2 linked regions of the Diceros bicornis minor genome follow. The protein of the gene in region 2 interacts with the protein of the main gene of each other region in a pairwise test. Links are inferred from orthologs where the notes say so. Each region holds a gene or a part of one and is shown on either strand. Other genes may lie near its edges.

The links.
Region 1: the proteins of KPNA5 (region 2) and ANP32B interact in binary tests that used the Homo sapiens proteins (3 or more experiments, as listed by UniProt). The two-hybrid records come from large-scale screens. The link is inferred for Diceros bicornis minor from reciprocal best matches to the Homo sapiens genes KPNA5 and ANP32B.

Annotation. Positions count from the first base shown.
Region 1 is NC_080767.1:8,234,915-8,251,092, forward strand, and holds the start of ANP32B (acidic leucine-rich nuclear phosphoprotein 32 family member B), read left to right. Parts: upstream 1-6,756; 5' UTR 6,757-6,998; coding exon 6,999-7,052; intron 7,053-16,178. Other genes in the region: HEMGN (hemogen), read right to left, coding at 5,897-5,925. UniProt on the Homo sapiens protein: Multifunctional protein that is involved in the regulation of many processes including cell proliferation, apoptosis, cell cycle progression or transcription.
Region 2 is NC_080762.1:19,220,616-19,236,793, forward strand, and holds the start of KPNA5 (importin subunit alpha-6), read right to left. Parts: upstream 7,449-16,178; 5' UTR 7,314-7,448; coding exon 7,310-7,313; intron 3,586-7,309; coding exon 3,452-3,585; intron 1,572-3,451; coding exon 1,470-1,571; intron 1,346-1,469; coding exon 1,246-1,345; intron 1-1,245. Other genes in the region: ZUP1 (zinc finger-containing ubiquitin peptidase 1), read left to right, coding at 11,968-12,529. UniProt on the Homo sapiens protein: Functions in nuclear protein import as an adapter protein for nuclear receptor KPNB1. Binds specifically and directly to substrates containing either a simple or bipartite NLS motif.

The sequences.
Region 1 (16,178 bases), on a different chromosome or scaffold from region 2:
AATTTTTTGAGGAACTGCCAAGCTGTTTTCCAAAGCAGTTGTACCATTTTACATTCCAACCAGCAATGCACAAGGGTTCCAGTTTTTCCACATCCTCACCAATATTTGTCGTCCATCATTTTTATTATAGCCATTGTAGTGAGTGTGAAGTGCCATTTCTTTGTGGTTTTGATTTGCATTTCCCTAATTCCTCATGAAGTTCAGCTTCTTTTCATGTTCTCATTGGCCATTTGTATATCTTCTTTGGAGAAATGTCTATTCAAATTCTTTGCCCATTTTTAATTGAGTTATTTATCTTTTTGTTGTTGAGTTCTAATAGTTCTTTATATATTCTGGCTACAAGTCCCTTATTAGATATATGATTTGCAAATGTTTTCTCCCATTCCATTCATTGTCTTTTCACTTTCTTGATAGTATCATTTGAAGCACAAAAGTTCTTAATTTTGATTAAGTCCAATTTATCTCTTTTTTCTTTGGTTTGTTGTGCTTTGGGTGTCACATCTAAGAAAGCTTTGCCTGGGCCAGCCCTGTGGCTTAGCACCGACGCACCGCTTCTCTGGCCATGCTGGGGCCGCGTCCCACATACGGCAACATAGGCTGTGCAACTATGACATACAACTATCTACTGGGGCTTTGGGTGAAAAAATAAATAAATAAATAAAAATTTAAGAAAGTTTTGCCTAATCCAAGGTCATGAAGATTTACTCCTATGTTTTCATCTGAGTCTTATAGTTTTAGCTCTTATATTTGTCTATGATCCATTTTGAGTTAATTTTTCTATATGGTGTGAGGTAGAGGTTCAACTTAATTCTTTTGCTTGTGGATATATAATAGTCCAGCACCATTTGTTTAAAAGACTATTCTTTTCACACTGAATTGTCTTGGCACCCTTCGGTTGTCAACTTTGTCATTAGTTGCAAACTGACTGACAAAGATTTTTAGAAGATTCTACCTAGTCTAGGCAAGGGTGAGGGGAAGTCTTATACACTGCTAATGGGAGTATAAAAGAAGTACAGCCTCTGAAGGGCAATTTGCCATGCATATCCGAAGTTGAAATATATATACTCTGATTCAGGAACTGTATTTCTAGGAATTTATTTCAAGGAGCTAATGGTACAAAGATATTATTTATAATGGTGAACAACTGGAAGTAACCTAACATCTATCTGTAGGAGACTAGGTAAATAAATTATGCTACATCCATACAATGAAAAATGACGTTGACTTTAAAAATGATGAAGTAGATCTATATTTATTGACTTGGAGCAATCCCTGTGACCTACTGCTAAGTGAAAAATAAAGGCATGTTACAAAGCACCATTTGTGGTAGGATTCCATCTATATAATATTATATATTTTACATATGCATGTACATACATAGAGATAGCTCGGAAGATATTCACAAAAATGTTAACAGTGGTTGTCGCTAGGTAATGGGATTTTGGCTGGCTTTTTTTCCTTCTTTATACTTTTTGCATTGCATGAATTTGCTGCATGAATATGTATTGTCTTTATATTCAGAAAAAGAAAAGCTATTTTCATTTTGTAGAAGAATGTCCTCATGGAATATATATTGTAGAAGACTATTCAATGGCATGGAAATATGTTCATAATGTATTGTTAACTGAAAAAAGCAGGTTACAGTATCATCCCAGTTTTGAAAAATTTTTTTAAATGTAATATATACAGTATTTCCTAGGTACTATGACATTTTTTTTCACTACTTACTATTTCTCAAATAAGGATGTCTCTTCTAATCAATATGAATATTTAATGTAGTGGGTTCCCACCTCCCTGCCTCCCTGAAAAGCTGTTATTAATGAGATGATGCTTCTGGCAATCTGAGACTTGAGAAAGTGCCATGTGTGTGTAGAGAAAAGACTGGAGTAATAGACACCAAAATGTGAGCAGTGCTTAGTCCTGAATTGAGCTTTTTATCTTCTTCTTTTTGTTAAGGATAGTTTCCCGTTTGTCTATAGTACATGCACAGGTAAACATAAAAAGAAACCAGGAAAGTGGCTGCCCTGCTTTTCAAGGAAGAAAGGGTGTGAAGGTATTGAAGACTTTTGGCCTCCACCAAAATAAAAGACTAGCAAATCAGGGAGCATACAAACCGCCTCAGTAGTGTCCGAGTCTAGAGTGAGGACTAACTTGCATGCCCACCGAGGGACCCCTGGCCGGGCAGGAGCTGGCAGAGCAAACTCGAGAATAGATGGGGGAGTTCAGTCAGCAGGGGCAGGACTCTTGGATCAGTCTAAGTTCTGTGCGGACAAGGAAATCCCCGTGAGGTAGGAGAGGGTCCGGATGGCGGCAACACTGGCTAATTATGGAGGACAGGGATGCCCAACACTGTGGGCCACTCAGATGTTGTCCAGTCTAGCTCAGAAGCACATTCCCAGCTCCTCAAGAGAGACCAAGGACTGTGTGAAACAGAAAATGAGTCCACCCCTTTCGAGAGTCTAAACATATTGGTTTGGGGCGAGCCCTTTCCTCAGCCAAAGGGGCAGGGTAACCACAGGAGCTGAAGGACATGGAGCAGAGGTAGCAGACTGGTGGCCACAGCAGAACTTCAACAACCCCAGAGGAGGCCAGCAAGCTCTGGGCCTCTGCCAAGGGTAAGGGAGGGACCCAGGCTTGCAGTAACTGTGGCCCGGGGCACAGAGGAGAATGCCAGGCACTGTGCCAGGTAGGAGCTTCACCTACATGATCATGTCTAATCCTCACAACAGCCCCAAGATGAGCAGCCTGAAGTTCAGAAAGGTTATGTGGTTTGTCGAAAAGCACACAGCCGGTAAGTGATGGAATGGGATTCCCACTTCACTAGACTCCTTCTCTAAAAAGGGAAAAACATTGAGCACAGTTAATACTCATATTTATCATGAGTATTAACTCATTATTTACTGTAATGGTAGACGGAAAAAACAAGTTTGAAAAAAATCTTCAATCTGATTCCAATATTGTTTTTTTAATTAAATATGTACAATGTAGAAAAAAAACGCTGCAAGGATATACACCTTAACGGTGGATGTCTCAATGGTAAGAATTTAATTCTTAAATTTTTTCTGTTTTTTTTTTCTTTTCCCCCACAATCAGCATGTAAATCTTCTTAAAGCAGAGAAAACAAAAAGTCTTTTCAGAAGCAATTGTGAGGACTAGTGGATCAAAGTAATGAGAATGAATTACAGTGAGACCTTAATGACAGAGAAATCCAGGCTCTTACTAGCTGTGTGAGTTCCACTTGGCTTCGCTGGGCCTGTTTGCCAAACAGTGAAAGGGGATTATGGTCTTGTACCAGTGAGCTGTTGCCGGGATTAATTGAAACGCAATATACACGAAAGTCCCCCGCACAGTACTTGGCATAAGCATGGTGCTTAATAAATATTAAACCTGACTCTTAGTAGTCATTGCTCTTCCTTGCTGCCCCAGGAAGGCCTGGCACCTACAGCTGTTTCAGAGAGCAGAAAGGAATCTGGTGCCCTTCAGAGGGGCCCCTGGATCTACAGCTGCCTACACACCTGACACTCCCCCTCTGTTTTTACCGTCTGGAGACTAATAGAATCTCATTCCTTAACCCACTTTCACCTAACTTTTTGCTTCTCTCTCTCCCTTTGTCTCAACAATCTCAGCTGTCTAGATAGTATTTTTGAGTACAGGCGACCGACATTATTTTCAACATAACATGCATTTGCAGAGCATCTATGTTCTAAAGACGGCCCCAGGCTCCTGCTCTTCATTCCTGTCATTCAGAAATATTTGTATGAGCTCAGTCTAGTTGAGAATTTAGATCCTTCAACAACTCCCACGTGTTGCCTAACTGCTAACAGGTACACATACCATGTGGTGGAAACTCAGAGGCACATGTGTATGGGAGAGGAAAGGAAGAATGAAAGTATTTAAAGAGTAATGATTTCCTCACCCTATATTTACATCAGCTTCGTACACTGTCTTGACTAAAGAGAAACTGTGCCCATTCTGCTAAACTGGCTTCAAAGCCAGTTAAAACAATGCTTGAGAGGGGCTGTTTCCTCTCATCTGCAGATGTATTAAAGTATGTTCATAGCCACAAAGTTTGTGGAAGGCTGGGTCATCTGATGATGTTGCTGATGCAGTGGTGTGGAAAGCAGGTCCAAGGAGTTACAAAGTAGCTCAGCGTGTTCTCCTAGGACATTTTGGGGTTTACTGGAATACACACACATTCTGATTAACAGGCAGTTTTAAGACTCAAAGGGGTGCCAAAACTGGGCATTATTTGATATATTTTTTACTTATTAGGCAAACATTAACATCAATGGAATTAAAAAGAGATTCACCCAGAGTTGACTCCCTAACAAACTAAGCTGTTTTCACTTTTCCTTATTCCCTTCCAGCCCTTGTTCAAATCTATAAACCCATGAACATGATACTAATTGTGGATTAGATACAATTAAATACTCTACTCCTTTCTCACACCCAGATGCGTACACAGAATGATGTTAAGTACAGCAATATTCAAACTCAGGGCACTGTGACAACAGCCCCTTCAGGCCTGTGGACTGACAGTCAGTGGAAGATGTTGGCAGGGCTGTGTGACACACCCTGTTCTGCCTGTGTTATTTATGCCTCTGGCAGTGAAACCCCTGACAAAGAAGCATGTCACTGGAACACATGCTCTTTGTTCACAGAGGTGCATGCCAGCACCGGCTGTGTCAGAGGGACAGAACCGGGTCTGTAGTCTCTCCTCCTTTGGCTCGTTTGCTTTCTTTTTATTTGCTGCACATTGTGGCTATGTTTATTAATTACTTTGTAGCTTAATCTTATAAACACACATTTATCTTGTGAGCTGTGTATCATGGGGAAAGAGTCCTTCATACCCTTGAGTTGGTCATAAAAAGAGAACAGGGTTCCAAGATTTGCCGTTTCTCCCCAAAGATCAACAATACACCTCCTCCACGAGCACCAGGTTACCTCTCTCCAGCACAGAGCTACGACGTTCCAGTCTCCTTGGGCACCTCCACTGTACCTGCAAGTCGGCGCCTGTGGGCTGTTTGGTCTTAAAGGCCCTCTACAATTGTTCCCAACTGACTGTTCCAAAGCAGGCCCCCACACTATGACTTCATTCCAGTCAGACTGCTGGTGTAGCAGAAAAGATGGCAGGCTTTGGAGTCAGACCCATCTGGGTTTAAACCCTTGCTCCAGCTCTTGTTGGTCACGCAGCTCAAGGTTCCTGAGCTTCAGCTCCTCATCTGTGAAATGCTTAAAATACAACTTACTTCACAGGCACAGGATTAAATGAGAAGGAACATATCAGGCCCTAAAAGTGGCTGCTCAATCTTGCTAATCAAGTTAGCTCACGAACTGAGTTGCGAGTTTTTCGTAAAAGCCTTCATCTCATGGCCCTGTGGTTCTCAAAACCTTACAGTCACAGACCTCGTGTGACATCCTGAAGAGAGTTCCCTCACCGTTTTCCCGTCACAGAGATGTCTGCTAAGACTAACATTTTAAATACAAGACTCAGGAAACAACACACTAGAAAGTTCTTGCCTTTTCCCATAATCCTTCGAAAACTTTCTTTTGCTTTGAAATTTTAATTCATTCGATACTTTAAAAATTGCTATGTGGTTTTGTTTGCCACTAAATGAACCTAGGTAAAATGGAAGGGGAGAGTCTTTCTTAACTTTAAGAAAACCTTAGGTTCATGCACAGAATTGTAAGTTTTTTTCTATTCATAAGTTGTTCTCAATCTTTGGAGCTTCTTATCTATATTAGAATTAAGATGGTATCTGATTTGACAAATCACGTATTTACTTATTTTACGCTGTGTATAACGTTGCGTTACTTTCGGGAGGTCTGCAAAGCAAACAGTGCTCTAACCCGGACTCTCAGGGTGCTCTCCGAGCCAGCCCATTACAAAGGCTACCTGTGAAGCTTCACCGAATCGGAGACCATCAAGAATTTACCCAGCTCACAGGGGTGCCCTAAGAAATAAATAAGATAAAAGTCTGCGGGAAAACTCTGTAAAACTCCGAGGCCCCGTTAGAAATGCTAATTGCTGCCTTCGCTAGCCCATATTTAAATGTTAGAAAACCAGGGAGATCCTCCTGAACTCAGGGACGCTCGGCTCCTCTGTGGCTGGGGCAAGCGGTCTGGGCTACCCCCGGCCCCGAAGGCCGACTCCGCCCGGTGCCACGCGGTACAGCGCCGGCAGGCCACGATTTCCGCCCCCGACGGGGGTCCCCGCAGCACTGCCACCACCCCCCGGCCACGGAGACAGCCGGGTTCAGGCCCCACACTGCGTGGGGAGCTTAAGGTGAACCCGAAAGCTCCCGTCCCGCGCTTTCTGCTAGTCTCCTGCCTTCGCGGGCGTCGGGCTGGCTACGTCGAGCCTCTGCGGACGGACCTGGCCTTAGGGACCCCCGAAGCCGGACTGTGCAGCCTCCCCCAGCCCTCCCGGCAAACGTCCAAGCCCGGCCCGGAGAGCCGCCTCGAGGCGCGGCGAGCGGGGGCCTGGGGGTCTCAGAAGCCCCCGAGGAAGGTCTTACATCAGCCACCCCACGTGCGACCGGAGGGAGGGAGGGAGGAAGCCGCTGCCGTCCCCCGGGCTGCGCCTCTCCCCCCAGCCTCCGCCCCTCCCGCCGCGCGTCTCCCCGCCCCGTCCCTGGTGCAGCCGCGGCCGCCGAGCCGAGCGGCGCCGCGCGGGGCCGAGTGGAGCCGAGCAGCCGCCCGCGCCGCGTCGCCGGTTTAAGCGCAGTGCGGGCCCGCGGCCGGGGGCGGCGGTAGTGAGACCAGCGCCGCGCTCCAGCCCCCTTTTCCCTCCATGGTTTCTCTCCGCTCCCGCGAGTAACTTGGCTCCGGGGGCTCCGCTCGCCTGCCCGCACGCCGCCTGCCGCCCGGGACCGCGCCGCCGGCCTCTGCCGCGAGCAGACCCCTTCCGACGGCCCTCGCCGCGCAGGCCGGGACGCCTCTCCCCCCTCCGCCCCCGCCGCGGAAAGTTAAGTTTGAAGAGGGGGGAAGAGGGAAACATGGACATGAAGAGGAGGATCCACCTGGAGCTGAGGAACCGGACCCCGGCCGCGGTAAGCGGAGCCCCCCGCGGGCGCCCTCTCCCCCGATGACTTGCATGTAATGGTGGCCACCTGCGGGGCCCGGGCTCGGGCTCGGGCTCGGGCTCGCCGGCCGCGGCGCGGGAAGGGCGCAGCTCGCGGGCTCGGACGGGGAAGGCAGGCGGGCGGGCGGGCGCGGAGGGGGGAGCGAGCGCGCGGGGATTAACTCTTTGGCGCCCGCGGACCCGCGGCCGTCCGGGGAAGGTGGGGGAAAGCAAACTTGGAGCTCCTCGCCCGCCACGGTCCTCTCCCCGCCAAGCGCGTGTGCGTGTGGCCGGTGGCGAGGGAGGGCGGAGGGGGTTGTGTAACGCTGGGAGCCATGTTTGCAGCCTCCCGGGATGCGCGGCCCGGCGGAGGCCGGGCCTGCCGAGGAGGCGCGCGGCCATCCGGGCTGGGCCCGCCGCGGGCCACCGGGCTCCGCGCGCCCCGGGCCGCCGGGGAGGGGGCTCGGGCAGGGGCTCCTCCGGCCGGGCCGCGGTTGGCGCCAGCCCGGCCGAGGACGGGTGCCGTGGGGCTGGGGGCCACTTTCGCCACGGAGCGGGGCGAGCAGCCCCCTCGGGCGCCGGGGGGCTCGGGCGGGCGCGGCCTGGCGCGCGCGGGGCGGGGGAGGGGCGAGCCCGGGCGGCGGAGGTGGCGCAACTGCCGCCCCTCCGGAGGCCAAGTTTGAAAAAAGGATGCGGTTCCCGCCATTTTTCAAGCCTAAAAATAAAACTTTCTCCCCCCTTCCCCTCGCTACCCTCGCGCCCTCCGGGCCTGCCCCATTCCTGGCCTCCAGGGCGGGCGCCGGTCGGGTCGGCCGTGGCGGCGGCCTAGCACTCCCCCCCCCCCCGCCGCCGCCGCCGCCGCCCGGGGCCCCTGCCCCGGAGGCTGGCCCCTCGGTGTGGGCGGGCGGCGGCTCCTCGCGCCAGCCGGGCCGCGCCACGGCCGACACAGCGCCATGTTGGCGGGCGCTCGTCTCCCTCCGCCGCGTGAGCCGGCCCGCGGCTCCAGCCCGCCCCCAGCGCGGGCTGCCGGCCGCCGCTCCCCGGCCGAGCCCGCGGCTTGTTTTCCGCCCGCCCTCCGCGCCGGGGCTCCGCTCGCACTGGCGGGAGCCGCGCGCTGCGGCCGCCGCCGCCTCATCTCCTTTCGGGCGCTGCCATCCCCTCCCCCTTCTTAAAAGGGCAACGCCAGGCGGCCGCTCCGCCGGGCCGGGCTCCGGGGTCTGGCGGGCCTCGGCCGGGCTCGCGGGCCGGCGGCCGCTAGCCCCGCACGTGCTCCAGGGCGGCTGACCGAGGCCGGCGCCCGCCCGCCGCGGCTGCGTGAGGCGGGCGGCTCTTTAAGAATCGCTTCTTTCTTCTCCGCTCCGGCCCGCCCCGCGAACTAGGGCGGCTTCCCGAGGCCGGGCGCGGGGCCCTGTTCCCCGGCCCCCGCGGGGAGGCCGCGCCTCCGCCAGGCCCGCTCCTCGGGTGAGCGGCGAGCTCTGGCCCGCGGGAGGTGCCCCCGCCCGCCGCGGTCCAGGGGTGCGCGCCTTTCGTGCAGTCAGGTCGCCGTGGGTAACAAGTTGCCAACTTGTGGAAACTGGTCCACCGGGGTTTACCTTGTGCGCACGAGGGTTTTGAGGTCGCCACAAATGAAGTGCGGGGTGGGCCGCACCGCGTGGCCGCCCCTCGCTCCCCTGGAGGACCTGAGGGAGTGGGCGACTCCACTCGCTCCCCCCGGTTTGAAGGTTGAGGTTTGACCACAGTCGCCCCTGCCGTCCATCAGTCAGACATTTTGTGTCGGCCACGTGCTAGTATATCGAACTGTTCAGCGTCTTCACGCCGTAAAACTTGAGTCGTTCATTGTGAGGAGCAGCTCATTTCAGACGTTGGCATTGTGACTGCGTAGCTGCAGATCGGTGAATGTGGACTAATTAAATTTAGCCAAAATTTCCAAAAGAAAAGTAGCACATGGATCTTCAAAGTGTTTTAAAATCGAGAATTTGAATTTTGAATGTGCTTAAACTAAAACGCTTAAAATACTCGATAAGAGCAGTGTTGTTCCCTCTGGGAAATAAAACTGGGTTGATATTCCCATTATAAGTGATTTTTTTCATATATGAAATAACCAATGATATTGCTTTTTAAAATGCATATGTATGTGCGAGTTTTAATTTTTCAAGTAGTCGACTTAGGCCTTACTGGCTTGTCAAAGATGGGCCAGTCATGTGGCTATTTAATTAAAATTAAATTAAAAGATCACTATCCACATTTCAAGTGCTCAAAAGCCACAGGTGACTTGTGAGTACTGTATTGGACAGCGCTAGCCTACAGAATCCGCTGGTTTATTAAACAAACACTTGAGTACCAACAATATGCCAGGGCCTGTAAAAGCAGTGTGAACAAGACAGAGCAGCCCCTTCCCTCCTGAATCTTCAGGACCTGGTGGTGCTTGCTGCGCTGGTGCATGTTATGTGCCTTAGGAGAGTGTTGTGGGAGCCAGCCCAGACTGGGGGGGTAAAGGCTCCCCCAGGCCTCTGGCAGGGAGACTGAGACCAGTGGCAGTTAGGTTCTTAGGAGAGGAAAGCTTTGACCTAAAACTGAAGCATTTTCAGGAAAAAAAATGCTGTAGAATTAGAAGGAAATTTTAAGAGTTAAAAAGTGTTTTGCACAAAAGCATCATCCTTAGGGCAAATGAGTAGTTCCAAGATCTTTTAAAACCAAAGTCAGCTGGTGACATGGCTCCTTAGGTGTGTTGTGGGGCTAGCTGTTCGAGAATAGGCCCTGTTCTCTGGCCTACTCAGGATCGGGGATCCTGCAGGCTCTTGTCATTTGGGGAAACAGGAAGAACCCTTTCTTCATTGAATGTGCTGTTATAAGATGGACAGGAGACTCTTAAATGCACAATAGTGTATCCTATAGTTGACCTTAATGTCATCAAGTGAGATCTAAGAGGAGGAGGGTAAGTGGAGCTTTGATCATAAGTGATTTTGGCTTTTGTTTTTGTTTTGGGGTTTGAAGAAGACCCTGGTAACACTTTACCTTCTTGTATTCTTTGGCCAAAGTACATGAGACCAAGATAATAGGTTTACTTCACCTATTACTATATCTTTATTCCTTGTAAACACAGGTACGTTTATTTCCCTAAGGGGAGACTTGTAAAGAAATATGTAATTCAATTTTTTCAAAGTCCACAACAGCTCTTGATATCAGAGGTGTGTTCTCATAGTGGAAAAAATGGCCTAAGATGGCGTTTTAAAGTAATCTTCATAAAGAATGGTAATCACCATTTAAAAATATCTTATAGGCAAGGATAGGAAGTATTTTATGTAAAATATTTGTATTGTCCGTTACCTCACTGAGAACATATTGTACAGTTCTAGAACATGCCATATACACCACAGAAATTGGTGGTATTGTCAGATGTGAAAAGAGACAATGATGTGCAGTAGTGAGATATAAACCAAATTTATCATATTTCAAAACTGGAAAAAACCCGTGTTCTTTATGTGAGGCTCTCATCCTTGCATTACACCAAATATGCCACTCTGTTATGAGCACCTCGTTAATAACTACGAATCACGGGACAGCTATCCTTGATATTAGCTGTGTTTGAGTTTTTTGTTCAAAAAACTTAGATTTTCCTCAGTTTACATCTTAAATTGTTTTCCAATTTTTGGCATCTGTTGTTGTGTCTATTGTGATGTAATTTGGAGCTCAATGGGATATTCTAATTGGTTGCATGGCAACTAGTTGGGTTTTTTCCTTGTATAAGTAATACATCTTCATTGAAGAAAAATTAGATATCGATAAGCAAAAATAAAAAAATAGAAATCTCTCACACACACATTCTACCATCTAGGCATTCTCGTGTATAGTCTACTAGAATGTTTAATTTTTTCCAAACTCAGGTAATGTTATCGAGGCATATACTGTCTTGTTGATTTTATTTTTACATATATAATACAGTAAATATCTTTCCATGTTACTGTTTATTATTTTACAACGTCATTGTTAATGTCTGCATAGATCATAGTTTAACCATCCCCATTGGGTGGTTAGAAGTTTTTTGTGGTTTTAAATAGCACTGAAATGAACATCTTGTCACGTGAATCTCTGTCTTCTGCCAAATTGCATTTCGGAATGGTTCCCTTCTTTACCTACCCACCAGTAGGATATGGGTGTTTCCTTGCTTCATGCCAACAGTTCTGCCACCTAAACACATCTGAGAACCACTAACATAAATTTGTTCTGTCATTTTGAAAACATTCTTTAAAATAATAGAAGGGTAGAAGGTTTGAACATTGGTTAACTCAGGATGGAAGTTGGCAAGGATGGCAGGAGTTACTTTTTCTTTCTACATTTTTGGATTATTTCACTTACTACAATAATCGTGTAAAGAATTGATAACTCAAAATGACCTTTAATTCCTCCATCCCCCCCATAACAATTATACCTGTTATAATTGGGGAGGGTCACCCAACCAGTTAGGTAAAATTGATCTTTTTTTTTTAGAGTAGCTGGGGGAGTGGGAAGTGAGCACAAATTGGAGAGGATGAAAGGAAAATCACCTGGATCACCTCTGGCCCCCTAGCTCCTATCCCCCTAACTTGGCTACAATAGAGTTCAGATTTTTCAGTGAAAAAGTAGTAGAACACACTGCTGTTTTTGCTGATTGCTATAAAAAACAGAAACAAGAGTTAAATAAGAAATAGTATGGATTTTTGGGTTTAGTTTTTAAATGTTTAAATTCATGTTTGAGAAAAAGCTAGTTTAATTGGAGAATGAGGGATGAACAAGAGTGAATTGGGCCCCAAAAGTTAAGCTATCGGTCTTTGAACGGAAGGCCGGCTAAGTCTACCTTGGACCAGATAGCTGCCTAAGCTGTGCACACAAATGCACAAGTGCCTGCCTGGCCTTCCCTCCTTAGATGATAGCCCTGGCAGGCTTGGGGATTTGTTTCTTCCTCTTGTGAAGGAGAAACTAGGGCCATTTCTCCTTGATTAGAACCTCTCATTTATTCTGGATCTAGATTGGGAGGCCGTGGGATTATATGGACACCTCCCCCCCACCCCTGCTCCCTCAGTCTGGATCCCCTCACAATCAGGAAGGAGTGGGGGAGAGAGAGGACTTAGTTATCTCAAATGCTGCTGACACAATGCCTGAGAACACTTCACCAAGGTCCTGCTTAGAGCCTTAAACAGGCTAGAAGGGTGTGATGGCCGGCTTTCCAGACCTGTCATCCTCAGGCTCAGCCCTAAGTAGGGCCCTCCTATGGTCTCTGCTTTCTGCAGTAATTCTCACTCTGCTCTGTGCTTATTCCCCAGTAGCTCGTCCTCTTACCCTGCCTCTGGAGGTAGCATGTTTCTTTACTACATCCTTGGCCTTCCAAAGGTCAAGGGACGTGCGTCCTCTGCTGAGCGGTACAACCCTCTGCCCTACTCACCCCGGTAAATTACCCCAGTAATTCTGTTGCCTCCTACTCAGGGAGAAAATTAAAGGTCTCAGGTGTGTATTCCCTCAGCTTCTTGCTCTTCCATTTTGTAAACTCACCTGCACCTGAACGCCTCCTAGCCTTCTCTTCTCCACAGGAAGAGCTGCCCTACCTCCAACAAGAGTAGCATGATAGATCTCACTTTTAATATTCACTTTTTACTACTTACAGTTGAACAATTTTTTATGTTTACTGATGATTTGTATTTTTTATGGCTTGTCTGGTTTTTGTCAGTGTTTCTTTTGGGGTATTTTTTCCTCACTTGGGGTAAAAACAGTATTCTCAAGAAAAAGATAAATGCAAATACTTAGAATTTTCATATATCAAGAAAGGTCACAAAATTAAAAGTTAAATAAATTGGAAGAGAATTTTGCAGTAAGTGTTAAAAGAGAGGTTGGTTGCCTTTTAAATAAAGAATTTGTAAGTCAATAACAGAGACTCTTTTCATATTCTTTCACCTAGCAATAGATTGTGAGGAAGCAATCCTAATTACAGAAGAAATTTTACATAAAAAGATATTATGGCATTATTTGTAATAGGGAAAATTGGAAACATGTTCAGTAGGGAGGATTGTAAAGTAATTTATGGTACATCCATACACTTTAATTTCTTTAGCCATTAGGAAATATTCAGAGTTGTTATTTTAAAGTATGCTAAATAATATAGTTTTATCTCACCTATGTTTAAAATATACAAAGACAGACTGAAAAAATATACCAAAATGATAGTGACAAACAGTATGCTTTGCATTATGTGATTAGGCTTATAATCGGAGAGCGGGATCTTTTTAATCCAAGTTTTCTTTGTATTTCATCATCTGCTGATTCCTCTGAAATCCTGGCACAAACCCTATGCAGCACTCTGACAAACCTGTGACCATTTTTTCTTCATTCAACAGTTGTAAAGGATCTTTCTCATACTAGGATATAGTGGTAACTAAAACAGACACGACCCTGCCATCATGAAGCTTCATGAAGCTTAAAGTCTAGCAGTGACTTTTTTTACCTTTATTTTTTTAATAGATTAATATTCTCATCATTGAAATACTAAATAAAGTTCTATAGAAAAGTCTCCCAGCGGCTCATTTTCACTCCCTGAGAAATTTTATGTACATGTAAGAAAGTGAATGTGTGATCTGTTACATAAATAACATACATTCTGTACAGTTTTCATCCCACAGTATATCCTGGAAATGAGTCCCTTGTTGATGGGCATTTAAGTTTTCTAATTTTTTCAGTCCTTTTTCAATAACTTCTCATGCCTTATGTCATACACCTTTCTGGGAGTTTGAAACTAATGCTTTACCTTTGGGGGTACCGGTCCTGATTCTTCTTAAGTCTCCTTTGTAGGATCCCCCAGGGTCGGTCTTCTTCCTAGGAATTTCATCCTTTCGCCTCTACTTCTGCCCTGATGACACCCAAATACAGAATAACCCAGACCTCCCCTGAACTCCAGCCGTGTCCAGACTGCCTGGGGATACTTTTACCTGGACGTCCCCTGGGAACCTTAAGCTTGATATCCCTTGTGGTATTCATTACATACCTCCTCAACAAGCTGTGCCTTCCTTCTTTCCATCTAGCTACATGGTTCCTGTTTCTCTAAACCAGAACCTCAATTCCTCTCCTCCGTCTTCCATACCCAACAACTAAACCTGCAAATTTGAACCACTTTCTTTTTTCTTTTTTTTTAAAATAATTTTATTTATTTATTTATTCCCCCAAAGCCCCAGTAGATAGTTGTATGTCATAGCTGCACATCCTTTTAGTTGCTGTATGTGGGACGCGGCCTCAGCATGGCCAGAGAAGCAGTGCGTTGGTGCGTGCCTGGGACTGAACCCAGGCCACCAGCAGTGGAGCACGCGCACCCAGCCGCCAAACCACGGGCCGGCCCTGAACCACTTTAACATCTTTCTTTTTCTCCCACTTTCCCCTTCTTGATTCCTTTTCTGCTGTTTGGTTCAGCAAACATGTTCTAACTCATGTTTGAATGCTTTATGGTAGTTTTTGATGACCATTTCAGCAAGTGAACTGAGAGGCAAAATGGCTTAAGAGGCAACATGGCCAACTCTAATTCCTCCTCACTTGGCTTTTGGCATATTAGTGTCATTCTGTATATAATCGTAGAAAATGCCTCAAACCAAATGGAAACATTTTAGCTGTATTTCAGTATAGTACTTAGTGGGTGGGCAGTTACAGTTGACCTTTTTTTTATGGTTTGTTGGTTTTACTTTTTTTTAAAGATTTTATTTTTATTTCTTTATTTTCCTCCCAAAGCCCCAGTAGATAGTTGTATGTCATAGTTGCACATCCTTCTAGTTGCTGTATGTGGGACGCGGCGTCAGCATGGCCGGAGAAGCGGTACGTTGGTGCGCGCCCGGGATCCGAACCTGGGCCGCCAGCAGCAGAGCGAGCGCACTTAACCGCTACGCCACGGGGCCGGCCCTATTATTTTTGATACAAAGGAAATACATGCTTGTAAAAAACTTAGTGCAGATATGAATAAAGTAAACTGAAGGTCCCTGTCATTCCCTTACTCCCTTTCCCCAGAGGTTCCTTTCTCAGCATTTACTGTGTCCCAAGCGCTGCTCTCTACAACTCTATGAGGTGGGTAATATTATCTCCACTTCACAGATAAGGAGTCTGAGGCACAGAGAGGTTAAGTGACTTGGCCGAGGTCACGACGCACGTTGTAAGTGGCAGAGCCAGGGTTTGACCGCAGGCATCTATCTCCGGAGCCCAGCTCTCCTGGGCTCCACCTCTTAAGTTTTCAGATGTTCTGATTTTCATCTGAAGAGGCAAGAATGGCAGAGGGGAGGAAAAAAAGAAAGAAAAGGTGTAATGGGCCTGCGTGCATCCTGAAACCAGGGCTTCTGAAGAGGTAGTAGGGTAGTGAGAAATAGTAAAGAGTTTCTGGTGTTGTGGGTATCACTGACTCTCCAAACCTATTTCCTTCTCTGTAAATGGGGGGAGGGGGGATGAAGAGTAAGTTCTCCATAAATCATAGCAATGACTAGAGTAGTATCTTTGGATTTTGTGGGGGGGGGGATGAAGATGTTACTAGCTCCTGTCCTCATTTTAGAACCATCAGCATCTCCCTTCCGTATACAAGTTTGATTAATGCTATTAAACATGGTAGATTTGCTGCATGAATGCCTTTGGCAGTTAAAGCTGTTAATTTGCATTACTGTAAATTGATCAAAACGTGTTAAAAAGTTGCAAATCTCAGAGTCAAGCACAGAGCAAGAATGGCAATAGGGATTAATCATGGTAGATATTCACATAGTAGACTGTTTATTAAATAATCAATATTCACCATCTTCAGATGTGACCCCCTTGGATGGATTTGAATTCTGAATTTTAGGACCACCAAAGAAGGAGATTTTATGGCCTGAAAAAAGCAACCTAATTTAATGTCTAACAGTTCTCTCCCCTAGAAATATCTTTCTCACATGTAACCCAAATTGATCTTTGTTTTGAATTAAGGCCTCTTATATCTTGATTCCTTCCTCGTGTCAAGATAATCTTAGTAAAAATTAATAAAACTAGAAGTAGAAATGCGTACTGCAGAAACCTGTAGCCAAAATCTCTTAATGATCTTGATAGGAAAAGTAAAGCTTTCCTCTTTTCCTGTGTCAATCTTCTGGGCCTT
Region 2 (16,178 bases):
CAAAACTTAAAAGTATTTATGAACAAGAACTACAATGAGAAAGCAAAAGCAAAAGCCTTGTAACCTGTGCTGACCTGAACACAAGATTTCTTTCATTTCTCATGTGTTACTAAATTCTGTCTCTCTTAGGAAGAGAAGGCAGCTGCGCCAAGGCATTTTCAAAATCTTATTGGTTCATGTATACAACTCAACATAACTAGAATTACTAACTCTATAAATTCCACATATGAAACGTAAGATAAGAAATTTTTATAAACTCAATATAAAATTGAACAAATAACATAAATAGGCAATTATGAATTACAAGTCAATAATTAAAGAAAAATGTTCAACCTGAGTACCCAAAAAGTGTGACACAATGAGCTACCATTACATAAGCATTTTTTTCTTTTTTAAAGATAATTGTGTTGGTAAGAATATAGTGAAATGAATACCTGTCAAACTGAAGATGAGAGTATAAATTAATACATTGTTTATTCCCTTTGATACATAATTTCACTTTTATGAATTTATACTAAGGAAATTTTAGGTTGTACAAGGATTTATGTAGCATTGTTTATGAAAATCAAAAATTGGGAAAAAACTAAATGATTGATTAAATTATTTTACATTCATACTTTAATGTTATGCTGTCATTTAAAAAAATGACGTCTGAAAAATATTTCTACAAGAATTTAAAAATATGTACCCCTAACTTGGTTTCTTGGTAGCAGGACTAATATTAGATTTTTATATTGGCTTTTTAAAATTCTTTTATCTTTGTTGGGGCCAGCCCGGTGGTGCAAGCAATTAAGTGTGCATGCACCACTGCGGCGGCTCAGGGTTCGTGGGTTCGGATCCCGGGCGCACACCGATGCACCACTTGGCAAGACACACTGTGGCAGCGTCCCATATAAAGTGGAGGAAGATGGGCATGGATGTTAGCCCAGGGCCAGTCTTCCTCAGCAAAAAGAGGAGGACTGGCAGATGTTAGCTCAGGGTCCATCTTCCTCACAAAAAAAATTAAATAAATAAAATTCTTTTATCTTTGCAAATATTATACAATCAACATGTTACTCTGATAATATGATGTTTAAAAAATAGAGGTTATTTAAAAATATATTTTAAAGAAAAATTAAGACCTACCGGCAAAGAAAAGTGTCTTAAAATAAAACATATCTAATAATACTAAGTATTAAAATATCTAATAAAACTCTACTACAGAATCCTGTAATATCCAATAAGCATATTGAAAATAATTCTTGCCTTTAGAAAGGAGCTTTCTAAATTTCTGTGTTGCTGTTAGTTGTTGTTCAGCATTATTAGAAAAAATCATCTGAACCATATCTGTGGTGATAACTTCTTCCTAAAACACACAAAAGAAAATGCAATTTATCATTTAAATATTTTGCATGAATAATATTTGCTGTATCCACTGTCTCTGAAATATTATTGAAGTATAATCTGAAATACATTTTTGTAATATCTACCTCTGGAACAGGTACAGTGGAACTGATATCCGGATCCTGGATAGGACTTTCTAGCATAGATTCATCATTTCTGGGCAAAGAGACATTTCTGCGTTTGAACAACTGTAATAAAGAGAAATCACTTTATACATTGAGCTTTCCATAAAACACTGAATTCCCATAAAATTACATTTTTCATTTAAGTGAACAAAACAAACTAATAATTTTATCATTTAAAATTCTGAATATTTCAGTATTTTCCAATCATACCAGGAAGACCCAAATTATCTATGAGAAGTTAAACTTTCCGGGCTAGGTTAGCTCCTGCCCTGCAGACTGCTTTGGGCCATTCTTAATCTCCAATCTTTTACCAACTGCCCGGCCCATAAGTAGAGTACACAATTACATTTTACAGCATTTGAAAAAGCACATATGCTCACAATGGATTATGAAATGTCTAAGAATTTTTCCAAGAAAATCTTAATTAAAAAGCAAATCTGTTCCATGAGAGAGATAACATATGGTATCTTAACAAACTTAGTATATCAGATTAACAAGGAATAGAGAATAACTTGCAGGGAAAGATGGCCCTATGCTTATTAATTCAGTAGTGGATAAACACAAAGGAAAAAAGAGACCACAAGAAAAAAAATTTGTAACTATGTGTGATGATAGATGATAACTAGATTTACTATGACAATCATTTTACAACATATACAAATATTCAATTATTATGTTGTACACCTGAAACTAATGTAATGTCACTTTTACAGCAATAAAAAAATACAGTTTAAACATCAAGTTTTATTTAGTACTTTTTATTAAAAAATATAAAGCTGAACAAATAATATAAATAGGTAATTATGAATTACAAAGTTACTTTTCATTGAAAAGTCTGGAGGAAATGGTTATAGTTATCTTGTTTCCAAATGGTTATTTTTTAAGTAGTTCAGAAATATCCATTGATAATTTTTATTGTTTTTGCCATAATTTTAGTACCTAGTACAGTTCCGAGCACCTCATGGATGCTTAAGAACTAGAAGTTAAGTCCACGAACAAATAACTGTTCTGTTTTTCAAAAAAAAAAAGAGGAGAAAAGAGACATGGTAAGGTAACTGAGAGAGATTTATAGGTACATCTTCTAAATCAATTAAGGAAAAAAAATCTGGCATCATATTCTTTTTGAGAGATACAAAAATAACTGCTCTTCAATCTGTACACAGTTCTCTTTCTAATCATTCATTCAACAGATTTTTTTTTTGAGTACCTACTATAATATAGTAAGGACTGTGCTAGATACTACAGATAGAGAGATGACAAATTATAATCATGTTTCTAAAACAGGCCTTCCTCCACTTTCTTAATTGCTAGTCCTTTTCATATACTAGATTTAATTTGTGTGAGGACAACACCCTCCTAAATATTTATGAATACTTCTAAATTTAAGTATATCCTGGAATGAAAAATGTTGAGATGCAATCTTTTAAATGACTTTTCTATTCCATATATTATAGATACAAAGTTCAAACAGAGCAGGCTGAGATCTAGATGATGAGACTATAGGAGGAACAATATGAATAGCATAGGAAGATGCTTATAATTAACTTAGGGGCAAGAGCTATGAAAACTGCAAAGCAACAAATGAATATAAGTAATGTTTTTTAGGGGGCAAATTTTACAATGACAAATGGAAGTGACCTAAATAGGCTCAAGAGTAAAAATTTCTTAGCAGTGGGGTAGAAATATGATTAACATAAACGGTTTATCAATGCAACAGAAAAGCCATTCCTGTCAGTGATTAAAATAGCAAAGGATTCTGATTCATGAATTTGCTAATGTTAACCCTGGAGACTAATAAATTAAAGAATAGATTTACGTATATTCAATGTCCTAAAATACTTTTTCATTTAAAATTATCCAAAAATTAACAACAATAAAACTTTTAAAATCTGTACATAATAATGTTTTGTATTAAACAGAATTAAATATTTTAAAACACCTACCTGTTCTTCTCTCTTTTGTTTTCGAAGCTGTATTCCTTCTTCTTCTCTTCGTCTACGCATTTCTTGAGGATTTAGGGCTTTATTCTTATAACTTTTCATTCTGTAGTTATCTTTCCCTGGACTAGCCATGGCATCTTAAGGTTAGGAGAGAAGAAAACAGATACTGATAACTCTGAAAGCAACACGGAATATTTACTGTAGGGCTGCTAAATTCAGGCTCATGGATTAAAGAGATCGGCAAAACCCACTCTGAAAATGAGGCACAAAGAATATCCTCTCACTCCCATATCAAAATTGGAACAAAATGGCAAAATATTTTAGGAATAAACTATCAAACAAATAATAGATTTTCTAAACACAAAGTCATTATCTTAATTTCACTGATTCTAAGATGCACTCCCCCATCCCTGGTATTTTAAACTTTCTGAAGTGGAATCCATCTTAAAATCACTGTCAGCCAGGAAATAATCATGACACAGTTGGGTAAAAAACTTCTAAATTACAGCTTCAGGCAAGATGAGGAAACAGCCAGAATTGAAGTGTCTTAAATTCAGTGAAATATGGTATTAGGCTTCAATAAGCACACCTCAAAGATTTACTGGAGTCTGGCTTCTTTCATTTACTTAAGGCCCTAAGTAAATAAGGCCACGCGGGTCATGATGTGAGTCATGACTTTGATACCAGTTTTGAGAACTTTAGTATAATTACTTCTTTTTAAATACTGAAATATTTCTATACTTTATTGTTAAACAGTTTTATTACAGATGTATTTAAAAACATTAACATTCACATAAACATTATATTGTTAGTATATTTAAAATATTTATTTTATATAAATATGAAATTTTATATTTGAAATATATGTAATTTTTACTTTTAGAAAACGAATTATAAACACTTTTTAATAATAGTATTATACTGATATTTTGCTATTATCTGAAATGAATACTAAATTACTGATATTATAACCTATTCTAGATTTACACATAAAAAAATCAATCTAAAGCAGGGTTTCAACTTGACTTTAATATGAGAGATAATTAGTGGCTACCTAGAATGTTACTCTGATAAATTCTGAGGACATACCCACGTCCGTCTAGAGAGAATGCTGTGATCAATTAGCACTTATGAAGTAAACACAGGAGAAGGAGAGGCTGGCATTTATCTGCCATCTCTGACGTAGAAGAGATAGACTAATGAACTGGCAAATTATATTGTTAGTAGTAAGGTACACTAAAACATATGCATTAAATCCTGTGAGAGCACAGAAGACATAGCAAGTAACTGTGCCTTAGGGAGCTCTGAAAGGCTTCATAGTTATCCCATCTTAAAAGACAAGCAAGAATTTGCCAGGGAAAAGCATACAAAGGGAAGAGGGAAGGAACAAGCATTTCAAGCAGAGAGAATATATGCAAAGGCAGAGTTCTTGAAAAAGCCTAGTAGAACTACACAACAGTAAGTAATTGAGTGTGCCTGAACAAGAGGATGCACGGCGGAACGGACAGAAGATAAAGCTAGAAAGGTAGGTAAGATCACATATGGTTCCTGTAATCTGGTTGAGAAATTTGGACTTGAGGCTAAGGAACAGAATTAAAGAAATTAAAGAGATGGTTGTTGATGAAGCCCTAAACTAAATTAATAGTTGCATTGGAGATACAGAAGACAGACTGGATTCCAAAAACATTTCTGAACTTAATTCAATAAGAATTTTAGGCCAAATGAATATAAGGCATATGTGGTAAGAAGAAAAGGGAGTCAAGGATGACTCCATGGTTTTTAGCTTGAGCTATTTCAGTATGATGCCAAATAACCCAAGACAATGAATACAAATGGAGGATCAGAGTGGTGGCTTTGTTTGCTTACCTGCTTGTTTTTGAGACGAGAATAATGAATTCAATCGTTTTATTTTTTAATTTACATACAGTAAAAATCACTCTTTTGGTATGCAGTTCTATGTATTTGACAAATGCAAAGGCATATAACCATTATCCCCAAAAGACTTCCTCATGCTGCTCCCATTAGCCCTCCTCCTACCCTTAATACCTGGCAACCACTGATTTGTTCTCCATCTCCATAATTCTGCCTTTTCCTGAACTTCACATAAATGGAATAATACAGTATGTAGTCTTGAGTTGGCTTCTTTCATTTAATATAGTGTATCTGTGAGTCATCCATGTTGTTGCTATTTATCAACAGTTCATTCCTTCTTAATGTTGAGTAGTATTCTATTGTATGGATATACCACAGTTTATCCATTCATTAGTTGAAGGACATTTAGGTTGTTTCTCGTTTTGGACAGTTATGAATAAATCTGCTATAAACATTCATGTACAGGTTTTTGGGTAAATGTAAGTTTTCATTTCTCTCGGGTAAATATTTAGGAGTAGAACTGATGGGTAATATGGCAAGTACATGCTTCACACTATAAGAAACTGCCAAACTGCTTTGCAAATTCCACCTGTGCCCCCCCCAACATACACACTAGACACTACTTCTAAGACCATTAATCTAGGCGACTACACTAAAATCTTTCAATATAAATGTTAACCAAATAAAATCTAGCCCCAACAACTCATATTATTTGTTCCTTTTTCTTCTATGGACTAACTTCCTGCCTGTTATTTAACTTGCATCCATTCTCACTGCAGCTGCTTTCAAGGGGACGTTAAGTCCAAGGAAAATGATCTCTCAAGATACCTCACCCAATGAGATTGTTTCGTTGTCTGGAAAATAACGTTCAAGACTGTATTCAAAGGCTGCTGTCTCATACAAGTTATTTTAAATATAAGAAATGCTATTCAGACACTTCAAAGTTGCAGAGCAGAGAAATTTTTTTTCAGTCATAAGCTTGTTTTTTACCCAGCTCTTTGAAAAGCTGTATTGACGTTAGGCACATAACTGGAATCTGAACTGGATTCTAATATCTATTAACGGAATTTCTTGTGTCCGTCAAGCCTCCATTTCTAGGGTTTGGGTGCCTATTAGCAAAATTACAAGACCACACAAAGAGGGGAAGTGTGCTGACTTGAGCCCCTGCAACCAAACTAGCAGGGGACTTAAAGATCTAAAGGACAGAGCTTTTTCTTGTTTACCAGGAAAGAAAGTCCCTTTCCTACAAACTATGAATCACTGAGTGTTGTAATTAAGAGACATCAAGTCAGAAGTCTTTTTGAATGTGTTCAAAAAGCCACGAGTAAACGCCAATATCATATTCTTTTAAGTATCACGATCCCGTTTCCCAGCTTTCAAATTCTTTTCATGTCTTATGCATTATCGAGGAAACACTATTAACTCTTCACCTTGGAAGGGACCTGACAGGATAACCGTCTAACCCCGGCGTGGGGACGTCGGGACCGAGCTCTTCGAGCACCTGCCTCCCGGTGGAGGAGGGCAGCTGGCGGAGAAGAGGGTGCGGCATGTAGGCCCCCGGGGCCGGACCTGCCCTATTCTGGACGCCGTGGAACTTCTAATAAGCCGCCGGACGCACACAGACGCTGAGTCCCGGGAGTGAGCGGCCACGTTTGGCAAGACCGTGCACCGAGAAGAGGAACGACCGAGAACGGGGAAGCAGGGCGGCGAGAGGATGAGAGCGGCTGCCCGAAACTCCTTCCGAGGAGCAGCCCGGCTGTCAGAGGATCTGGACTCCCCGCGCCTTCGCGTCCGCACGGGAAAGGTCCGGCTGCCACGCCCCCGTCACCGCTGTCTCCCGCAGGGGAACCCGAGAAAAGCCCCGGTACGGCATGGTCCTCAACCCTCCGCAAGGAAAGGGGTGAATAGACAGTGGCCCCAGGAACTAGTAGCTCCCACAAGGACCAAACCCGAGGCTCACCCAACCTGACCTGTGTCACTCCCACTTACCCATTAATGTGGCACTAACCCGTGCCCCCACTTTCCAGTCCCCGGCTGCGGGGTCTGCTGCAGATAACAGTAGAGTCGCCACTCCGCCCCTAGCGTGCAGCCCAACGACCAGGTTCGCAATTCAAGATGGCGGCCATCTGCGCCCCTTCCCCGAGACCCCGAGGCTCGGCTCCCAGAAGCCCTTGCACGCGGCAGCGGTGGCGGCGGCGGCGGCTGCAAGGACCGGCGGAGGGGCGGAGAGAAGCGCGCGCCCCAGCCCCACCCACCGAAGGCGGAGCCGGCGCCTGCGCCGACTCCGGTATTTTAACCCGACTGCGGCAGGAGTGTGTCCTACCTTCCCAGTCCTCCATGGAGCTGTCTTCGTTCATCACTCACTGTTCGTTAGTTCGTTCATTCATTCATTGGTTCATTCATTCCTTCATTCTACAACCTAGTATTGATTGAAGGCCTAATCTGTGCCCGGCACTGCTTTAGGTACTGGAGCTACAACATTGTACACAACGGATAAAAATCCCAACATCATCGAATTTTACAGAGACTCTTTCTTTCTTCAGCTTCATTAACTTTTTCGTATATGCTCTTCTCGTTTGTTTCAAGCTTTTCAATTTGCCATTCAATTATAGTATTGGATTCTGTGTAACATCTGGATTTTTGACAACAAAGTAGTCACTGATATATGGAATGAATAACTCCAGATAAAGTACTCTAAATTATTATAACACACGTATAGCCTTGTAACTCACCCTGGAGTTCAACAAACAGTATTAATAACATTGTTTTCCAGGTGCAATGCTAGGCACAGAATACAAAGTTAACATATAATTCCTGTCCTGAAGAAGCTCCTATTTTCCATCTCTTGTTCTTTTTGTTCTCTTTTCTGAGAAATTTCGTGGGTTCTTTGAGCTCTTTATTGATATATATATCTAAGTAATCCTGCTGTTGTATTTTTTAATCCCAAGAGCTATTTCCTATTTTTGATTCAGGGATTAAATATCTTCTCTTGTCTCGCTGAAGACGTTAATTGTCGTTTCCTTGGAGTTTTTTTTTTCTCCTTCATTCATTTTCTCCGTTTCTTCAGAGTTCATTTTTTTTTTTTTCTTTTTGATCCCTTTGGTTTTCATCTTTCCTGGTGATTGTTGAGTATTCATTCATATTTAAGTGAGACACTAAAGAAACCTATTGTAAGTCTACATATCAGTGGGGCTTGTTTACTCACCAGTTGTTGACCTCCCTACAGAGTGATAAAATGGGACCGGGTGCTTTCATTGGAGGACTTTCTAAAAGTCATGATCTGTAGGTCTTTTCTCTTGGACGAATGGTTTTCGCTGGAGAAGAATTTTCCAATCTCCTGACTTGGAGGCACAAATCAGACATCAGAATGTGATGGGGGAAAATGGGTAGGGGCCTCATAATTCAGAATTTAGTTTTCACTATTCTCCATTTTCAGTCCAACACCTTGACTCCCACCCTTAGCTGTGCACTTTGGACTTCGTAGCCTTTCCAGTTCATTTTCTTTATGAACTAAAGCTGTATCCTTCTGTCTGGGAGGGAAAAATGAGTCACTTGGCAACCAGGTAATAGAGGAAATCTGGAGGTAGGGTTCAAACTGCTCCTTATTCAGACTTTTCAGCAAAATGTCCCTAATTTCAGGCCCAAATTTAATATATTTTTCAGAAGTATCTAGTCTTTAATTTCTGAACATTTCCAGCATTTTGGTGTATGAATTAACCTGTTTTTTGTTGACTTCTGTTGTTAGCTAAGTTAGTTACTACTCATCCATCCTTTCTCTAGCTTTCAAAATTTGTTAAAATTGGGCTGGCCCGTGGCTTAGCGCTTAAGTGCGCTTGCTCCGCTACTGGCGGCCGGGGTTCGCATCCAGGGTGCACACTGACGCACCGCTTCTCCAGCCATGCTGAGGCCGCATCCCACATGCAGCAACTAGAAGGATGTGCAACTATGACATACAACTATCTACTGGGGCTTTGGGGGAAAAAAAAAAGGAGAAGGATTGGCAATAGATGTTAGCTGAAGAGCTGGTCTTCCTCAGCAAAAAGAGGAGGATTAGCATGGATGTTAGCTCAGGGCTGATCTTCCTCACAAAAAAAAAAAATGTTAAAATATCATTAGTTTATTTTTATTATTATTATTGCTTTGTCATTATAGTAGATTTTGAAAGGCAGGGAATATAAACGTACATGTTCAATCTGCCATGTTTAAGCACTCAACCCACAGAATGATTTTTAAAAATATACTGTATATCATCAGATCATGCCACTCTCCTATTTAAATACTCCAATAGCTTTCTACAAAGCCCTACATGATTTGGCCCCTGTCTACAACTCTGACCGCATATTGTAGCCACTCTTCCTTCTAGAACATTATACTCAGGTCACAAAATGTTCTTTTTCTTCCAGCCTTAGAGACTTTGTTCTTATTATATTCTCTGCCTGGAACACTCTTCCTCCTGTTGGTGAAAGGTTTGTTCATTAGCACACTCACCTCCTCAGAGAGACTTTTTCTAACTACATTAGTCCTTTCTATAAATAACCAAGCTTTATTTCCTTCATAGCACTTATCATGATCAGTTTATTTACTTGTTTATTTTTTCTCTGCCTCACTAGAATGTGTTTCAAATGGCCTATGTATTTTGATTAGTGCTGCAGCCCCATTTCCAAGCAGAATGCCTTTCTAACAGACACTCATTAAATATTTGTTGAATGAAATAAGGACTGAACAGTAAATATAAGGTACGTGTGATCTTGTGATTCTGAGGCAAGAACCTGGCTTAGTCATCCCCCATCTGCAGAGCATAGTTTGGAGTTTGACACCTAGTAGCATTATAAGCCCTTTAGTGATAATAGAATGGAGTGCTACTTAATCAGGCCCTAGACAACGGATATCGTGGACTCGAATAATGCCCTAGGACCAGCCCTGGGAATTCATTCAGAAAGACCTCAGAGCCTAGTGTGTCTCCTGGTAAATCTGGCGTCGGAACCCTGATGGGAGGATGCAAAAATGACTACGACTCCCAGAATGCACTACAACCCAGACCGGCAAGGAGGGTGCATGCCGGGAGTCCTTCCCTTCTGGGGAAGAGGAAGAACATTTTTAAATGTGAAAGTGGAGGTCGGAGTTTTTGTTTTTTAGTCGCTGGGTCTTTTCCTGGTTAACTGTGTATCTCTGGGTGTAGGGAGGGCCTGCCTCAGTGTTTCAGGCCGGGAAAGGTAATCGACGCCGCGCACGCACTCCTCTGCCGGCGAGCCAGACGGCGGCAGCGGCGGGACCCAGAGAGGAAGCCCAGCGTAGAGCAGTGTGGCCGCCGCCGTATCTCCGGGCCGGTAGGAACGGACAGTCCCAGCCCTCATTCCTCAGGCCCACGGCTTTCCCCCAGTTAGTGTCCGTCCTGGTTTCATGCCCTGGCTCGGGACGTTGGCGCGGAACTTCGGGCAGACTCGGCCTTGGGGCATTCCGGCCCTGTCACCGGCCTCCTTATGTCTCTCACGCACTTTTTCTGATCAAGGTGTTTGGGAGGTCAAGTGTATCCTTCTGTGTCCAGCTTTGTTTTAGCCGCGGGAAAAGAGCAAGCTCTCTGGGTGTGACGTTCTTTCCTCTGGGGGTTTGAGAGAATTTCCTTTTAAACTCAGAGACTATTTTCACTTGTCTGAAGAAAAATGAGAAAATAAGGGCAATGTAGGGAGCTCTTGTAAAGCTAAATTTATTTAAATAGTTCTCTTATTTTTCTTTTCCTGTTTGTTTTTAACTAGTCCTTAGCCAAACGATGGTCTGTAGTAGGAAGTACGAAGATTGTGGCGAGGTTTGCTTTTTAAAGATGATTTCTTAGCAAAATCACCTTTTTGTCGGTAGCCAGTACTTTATTAGTCCATAAAACCCAAAGTGACTGCTGATTTAGTGCCACTCATTTTATAGACCGAACCTCAGGGAGGTGAGGTGTCTTATCCAAAATTCTAAAACCTGAGATTATAACCCAATTCTCTTGTCTCTGGAATCAGTGCTCTTTTCAACTATGCGCACTCTGCTTTTATTCTTTCAGTTGAGAGTACAGCCTCTGGAACCGGAATAGATTAGCAGTTTGGCTAACCGTTTTCTGGCTGTGGTGACATATCTCAACTAGGGCTTTCGCCATACAGATTAATTGTAATGGTACTTAAATGAGTTTGATATCTGTAAAGCTCTTTAACTGGTAACTACTATTAATTATGATGTTTTTATTTAGCCTCCGCATTGTTAACAACTTTAAGGTTTTGTACTTAGATACATCAGTTGATAAGATTTCTTCTCTTTATTTTCTCTTACCTGACTCATCATACCTGGGCAATTTTATAAACGTTATTTTATCTCTACCTTAAACCAGACACACTTTTTGAAATATTTTAAAAATTATTTATTTTGCAGTATTACTGCATTTGTTTTGTTGAAACCGTAAACTTGAAATACAATAGTGAGTAGTTGAGATTTATAAATAAGTTTGTAAATTTGAGGAACAAAAAGTACATTGAAAATTTCTTTATCTAAATAATCCAGTTTTAAATAACAAGCATCATTCTTCTAAATCATTCTACAAAATGCATTTTCTTTTTCTTCAACTCTTACTTTCAAACTTAAAATAATATTGTTTTTTTCTAGCTACCTGATGTACCATGCTTTCTTGTGATATCTGTGGTGAAACAGTAACCTCAGAACCAGACATGAAGGCTCACCTCCTGGTTGTTCACATGGAAAACGAAGTTGTATGTCCATTTTGCAAGTTGTCGGGTGTGAATTATGATGAAATGTGTTTTCATATTGAAACTGCTCATTTTGAAGAAAATGAACTAGAAAGAAACTTTGAGAGGATCAATACAGTGCAGTACGGAACTTCAGATAATAGGGAGGACAACACCCTACAGTGTAGATCGGAAGTTAATTCAAGTATTCATTCAGCTTGTGCATCTAATCATCCGAAAATTTCAACTCAAAGCTTGCCTAAAGATGGTACTTTAAAACATAGCGCTTTTTATTCAGAAGACTTAACTGGATCTAGAAAATTCCTAAAAAGTAAAGAAAAAGAGTGTGACCTATCCAAAATAAAAGGATCAATTTATGAAACAATGTATAGTCCTCCCGAATGTCCATTCTGTGGAAAAATAGAAGATTGTAGTCAAGATATGGAAACTCATGTGAAAACAAAGCATGCCAATCTTTTAGACACTCCATTAGAAGGTAAAGTGTTCATTTTCTATACTAAGTAACAGTAGTCTCAGTTTAATATGTGGAGTCCTGAAAGTTAGTTTGTAAATCAGGTTACTACAAATGTGTTTTTAAATTCACTTTATATCTATAATTTTGTTCATTTGCCATTATTGTAATATAAAAATACAATAATGGAAAAGAATTTTGATGCAGATAATAAATGTTTCAGCTACATTGAGAGTAGTTGTAGAACCTTTCTGAGGAGAAATAGACTCAGAGTCCAGTTTCCAGAGGGCGTTGTTTTATTTACCACCAGCCCAATGGCATCTGGATTGTTTTGGATTTTGATTTTCTGTAACTGAGTTCACACTCTGTGATTTCTGTTGTTTTAAGTTTGTTGAAATTTGTTTTATGGCTTAAGATACGGTATACGGTCTATCTTGGTATATGTTCATGGACACTTGGGGAAAAAAGTGTATTCTGCTGTTCTTAGGTGGAGTGTTCTATATTTCTCAGTTAGATCGTGTTGAGTGTGTTCAGATCTTCTATATCCTTGCTGACTTCCTGTCTAGAAGTTCTACCAGTTTTTGAAAGGAGATTTTTGAAGTCCCCAATTATAGTTGTATATTTGTCTATTTTTCCTTTCAGCTCTATCAAGTTTTGTTTCATGTATTTTTTTTTTTTTTTTTTTTTTTTTTTTTTTTTTGTGAGGAGATCAGCCCTGAGCTAACATCCGCCAATCCTCCTCCTTTTTCCTGAGGAAGACGGCCCTGGGCTAACATCCGTGCCCATCTTCCTCCACTTTATATGGGACGCCTCCACAGCATGGCCCACCAAGCAGTGCGTCGGTGCGCGCCCGGGATCCGAACCAGCGAACCCCGGGCCGCCGCAGCGGAGCGCGCGCACCTAACCGCTTGCGCCACCGGGCCGGCCCCTGTTTCATGTATTTTGAATCTCTGTTGTTGGTGCACACACATTTAGAATCATATGTCTTTCTCTTACTGTTGAGTTTTAAGAGTAATTTGTATATTTTGGATACAAGTCCTTTATCAGATATGTGTTTTGCAAATATTTTCTTCCAGTCTGGGGCTTGTCTTTTCCTTCTCTTAACAGTGTCTTTTGCAGAACAGAAGTTTTTACTTTAATGAACTGCAAGTTGTTTGATTTCTTCTTCCATGGATTGTGCTTTTGGTGTTTTATCTAAAAACTCATTGCCAAATCCAAGGTCACCTTTCCTATGTTATCTTCTAGAAGTTTTGTAGTTTTGAATTTTAAATTTAAGTCTATGATTCATTTGAGTTAATTTTATAAAAGATGTAAGGAGAGTGTCTAGATTCATTTTTTTAAATTAATAAATATTATTTTTTAGAGCAGTTTCAGGTTCACAGCAAAATTGAGCAGAAAGTACAGAGAGTACTTGTGTACCCCCCGTCCCTATATACTCACAGCCTCCTCCACTATTGACATCATTTGTACCAAGTGATGCGTTTGTTACAATCAATGAACCTACATTGACACATCATTATCACCTAAAGTCCATAGTTTACATTAGGGTTCACTCTTGGTGTTGTATATTCTACAGGTTTTGTCAAATGTGTGATGACATATACCCACCGTGGTAGTATCATTCAGAATAGTTTCACTGCCCTAAAAATCCTTTGTGCTCCAGCTGTTCATCCCGTCCTCCCCCCAACCCCTGGCAACCACTGATCTTTTCACTGTCTCCATAGTTTGCCTTTTCCAGAATGTCATATAACTGGAATCATACAGTATATTGCTTTCTCAGATTGATTTCTTTCATGTAGTAATATGCATTTAAGTTTCCTCCATGTCTTTTCATAGCTTTCTAGTTCATTTCTTTTTAGTACTGAATAATATTCCATTGTCTAGGTGTACCACGGTTTGTCCATTCACCTACTTGGTTGCTTCCAAGTTTTGGCAGTTATCAGTAAAACTGCTATAAACATCTGTTTGCAGGTTTTTGTGTGGACAGAAGTTTTCAATTCATTTGAGTAAATACCAAATTCTGTATCATTACTAGATCATATGGTATCAGTGTGTATAGTTTTATAATAAACTGCCAAACTCTTCCAAATTAGCTATCCCATTTTGCATTAACACCAGCAATGAATGAAAGTGCCTGTTGCTCCACATCCTCCCCAGCATTTGGTGGTGTGAGTGTTCCAGTCCAGATTTGACCATTTTAATGTGGGTATAGTGGTATCTCATTTTAATTTGCAATTCTCTAGTAACATATGATGAACATCTTTTAATATGCTTACTTACAATCTGTATATCTTCTTTGGTGAAGTGTCTGTGAAGGTCTTTGGCCCATTTTTTAATCTGGTTTTTGGTTTCCTATTGTTGATTTTTAAGAGTTGTTTTATATTTTGGATAACAGATCTTTATCACGTGTCTTTTGCAAATATTCTCTCCGTTCCTGTGGCTTGTCTTCTCATTCTCTTGACATTGTCTTTTGCAGGGCAGAGGTTTTTTACTTTAATGAAATTCACTTTATCAATTATTTCATACATTGATCATGCCTTTGGTGTTGTATCTTAAAAGTCATCACCATACCCAAGGTCATTTAAATTTTCTCCTATGTTATCTTCTAGGAATTTTATAGATTTGCAATTATCATCTAGATCTATGATCTATTTTCAAGTTACTTTTTGTGAAGGATGTGAGGTCTATTTCTAGATTCATTTTCTTTTCATGTTGATATCCAGATGTTCCAGCACCATTTGTTGAAAAGACTGTCTTTGCTCTATTTTACTGCCTTTGCTTCTTTGTCAAAGATCAGTTCACTATATTTATGTTAGTTTGTTTCTGGGCTCTCTATTCTGTTCCACTGATCTATTTGTCTGTTCTTTTTCCAGTACTACAGTGTCTTGATGCTGTAGGTTTATAGTAAGTTTTGAAGTCAGATAGTGCCAGTCCTCCAACTTTGTTCTTTAATATTGTGTTGGCTGTTCTGGATCTTTTGTTTCTCCATATGAACTTTAGAATCAGTTTGTCGATATCCACAAAATAGCTTGCTGGGATTTTGATTGGGATGGCATTGAATCTACAGATCAAGTTGGGAAGAACTAACATCTTGACAATATTGAATCTTCCTATCATGAACAAGAAATATCTCTCCATTTATTTAGTTGTTCTTTGATTTCCTTCATCAGAATTTTGTATTTTTTTCTCATCATTAAGTATGATGTTAGCTGTAGGTTTTGCAGATATTCTTTATCAAGTTAAGGAAGTGCCCCCCACTTCTAGTTTGCTGAGAGTTTCTATCATGAATAGGTGTTGCGTTTTGTCAGATGTTTTTTCTGCATCCATTGATGTGATCATGTGATTTTTCTTTTTTAGCCTGTTGATGTGATGAATTACATTATTTGATTTTCAAATGTTGGATTAGCCTTGCATACTTGGGATAAATCCCACTTGATCACAGTGTGTAATTCTTTTTATACATTATTGGATTCAATTTGCTGGTGTAATTGGGAATTTTGCATCTCTGTTAATGAGAGAGATTGGTCTGTAGTTTTTTTTTCTTGATTGTCATTGTCTGGTTTTGGTAATAAGGTAATGCTGGCCTCATTTCGTGAGTTAGGAAATCTCGTTGCTTCTGTTTTCTGGAAGAGGTTGTAGGAATTGGTATAACTTCCTCCTTAAGTCTTTGGTA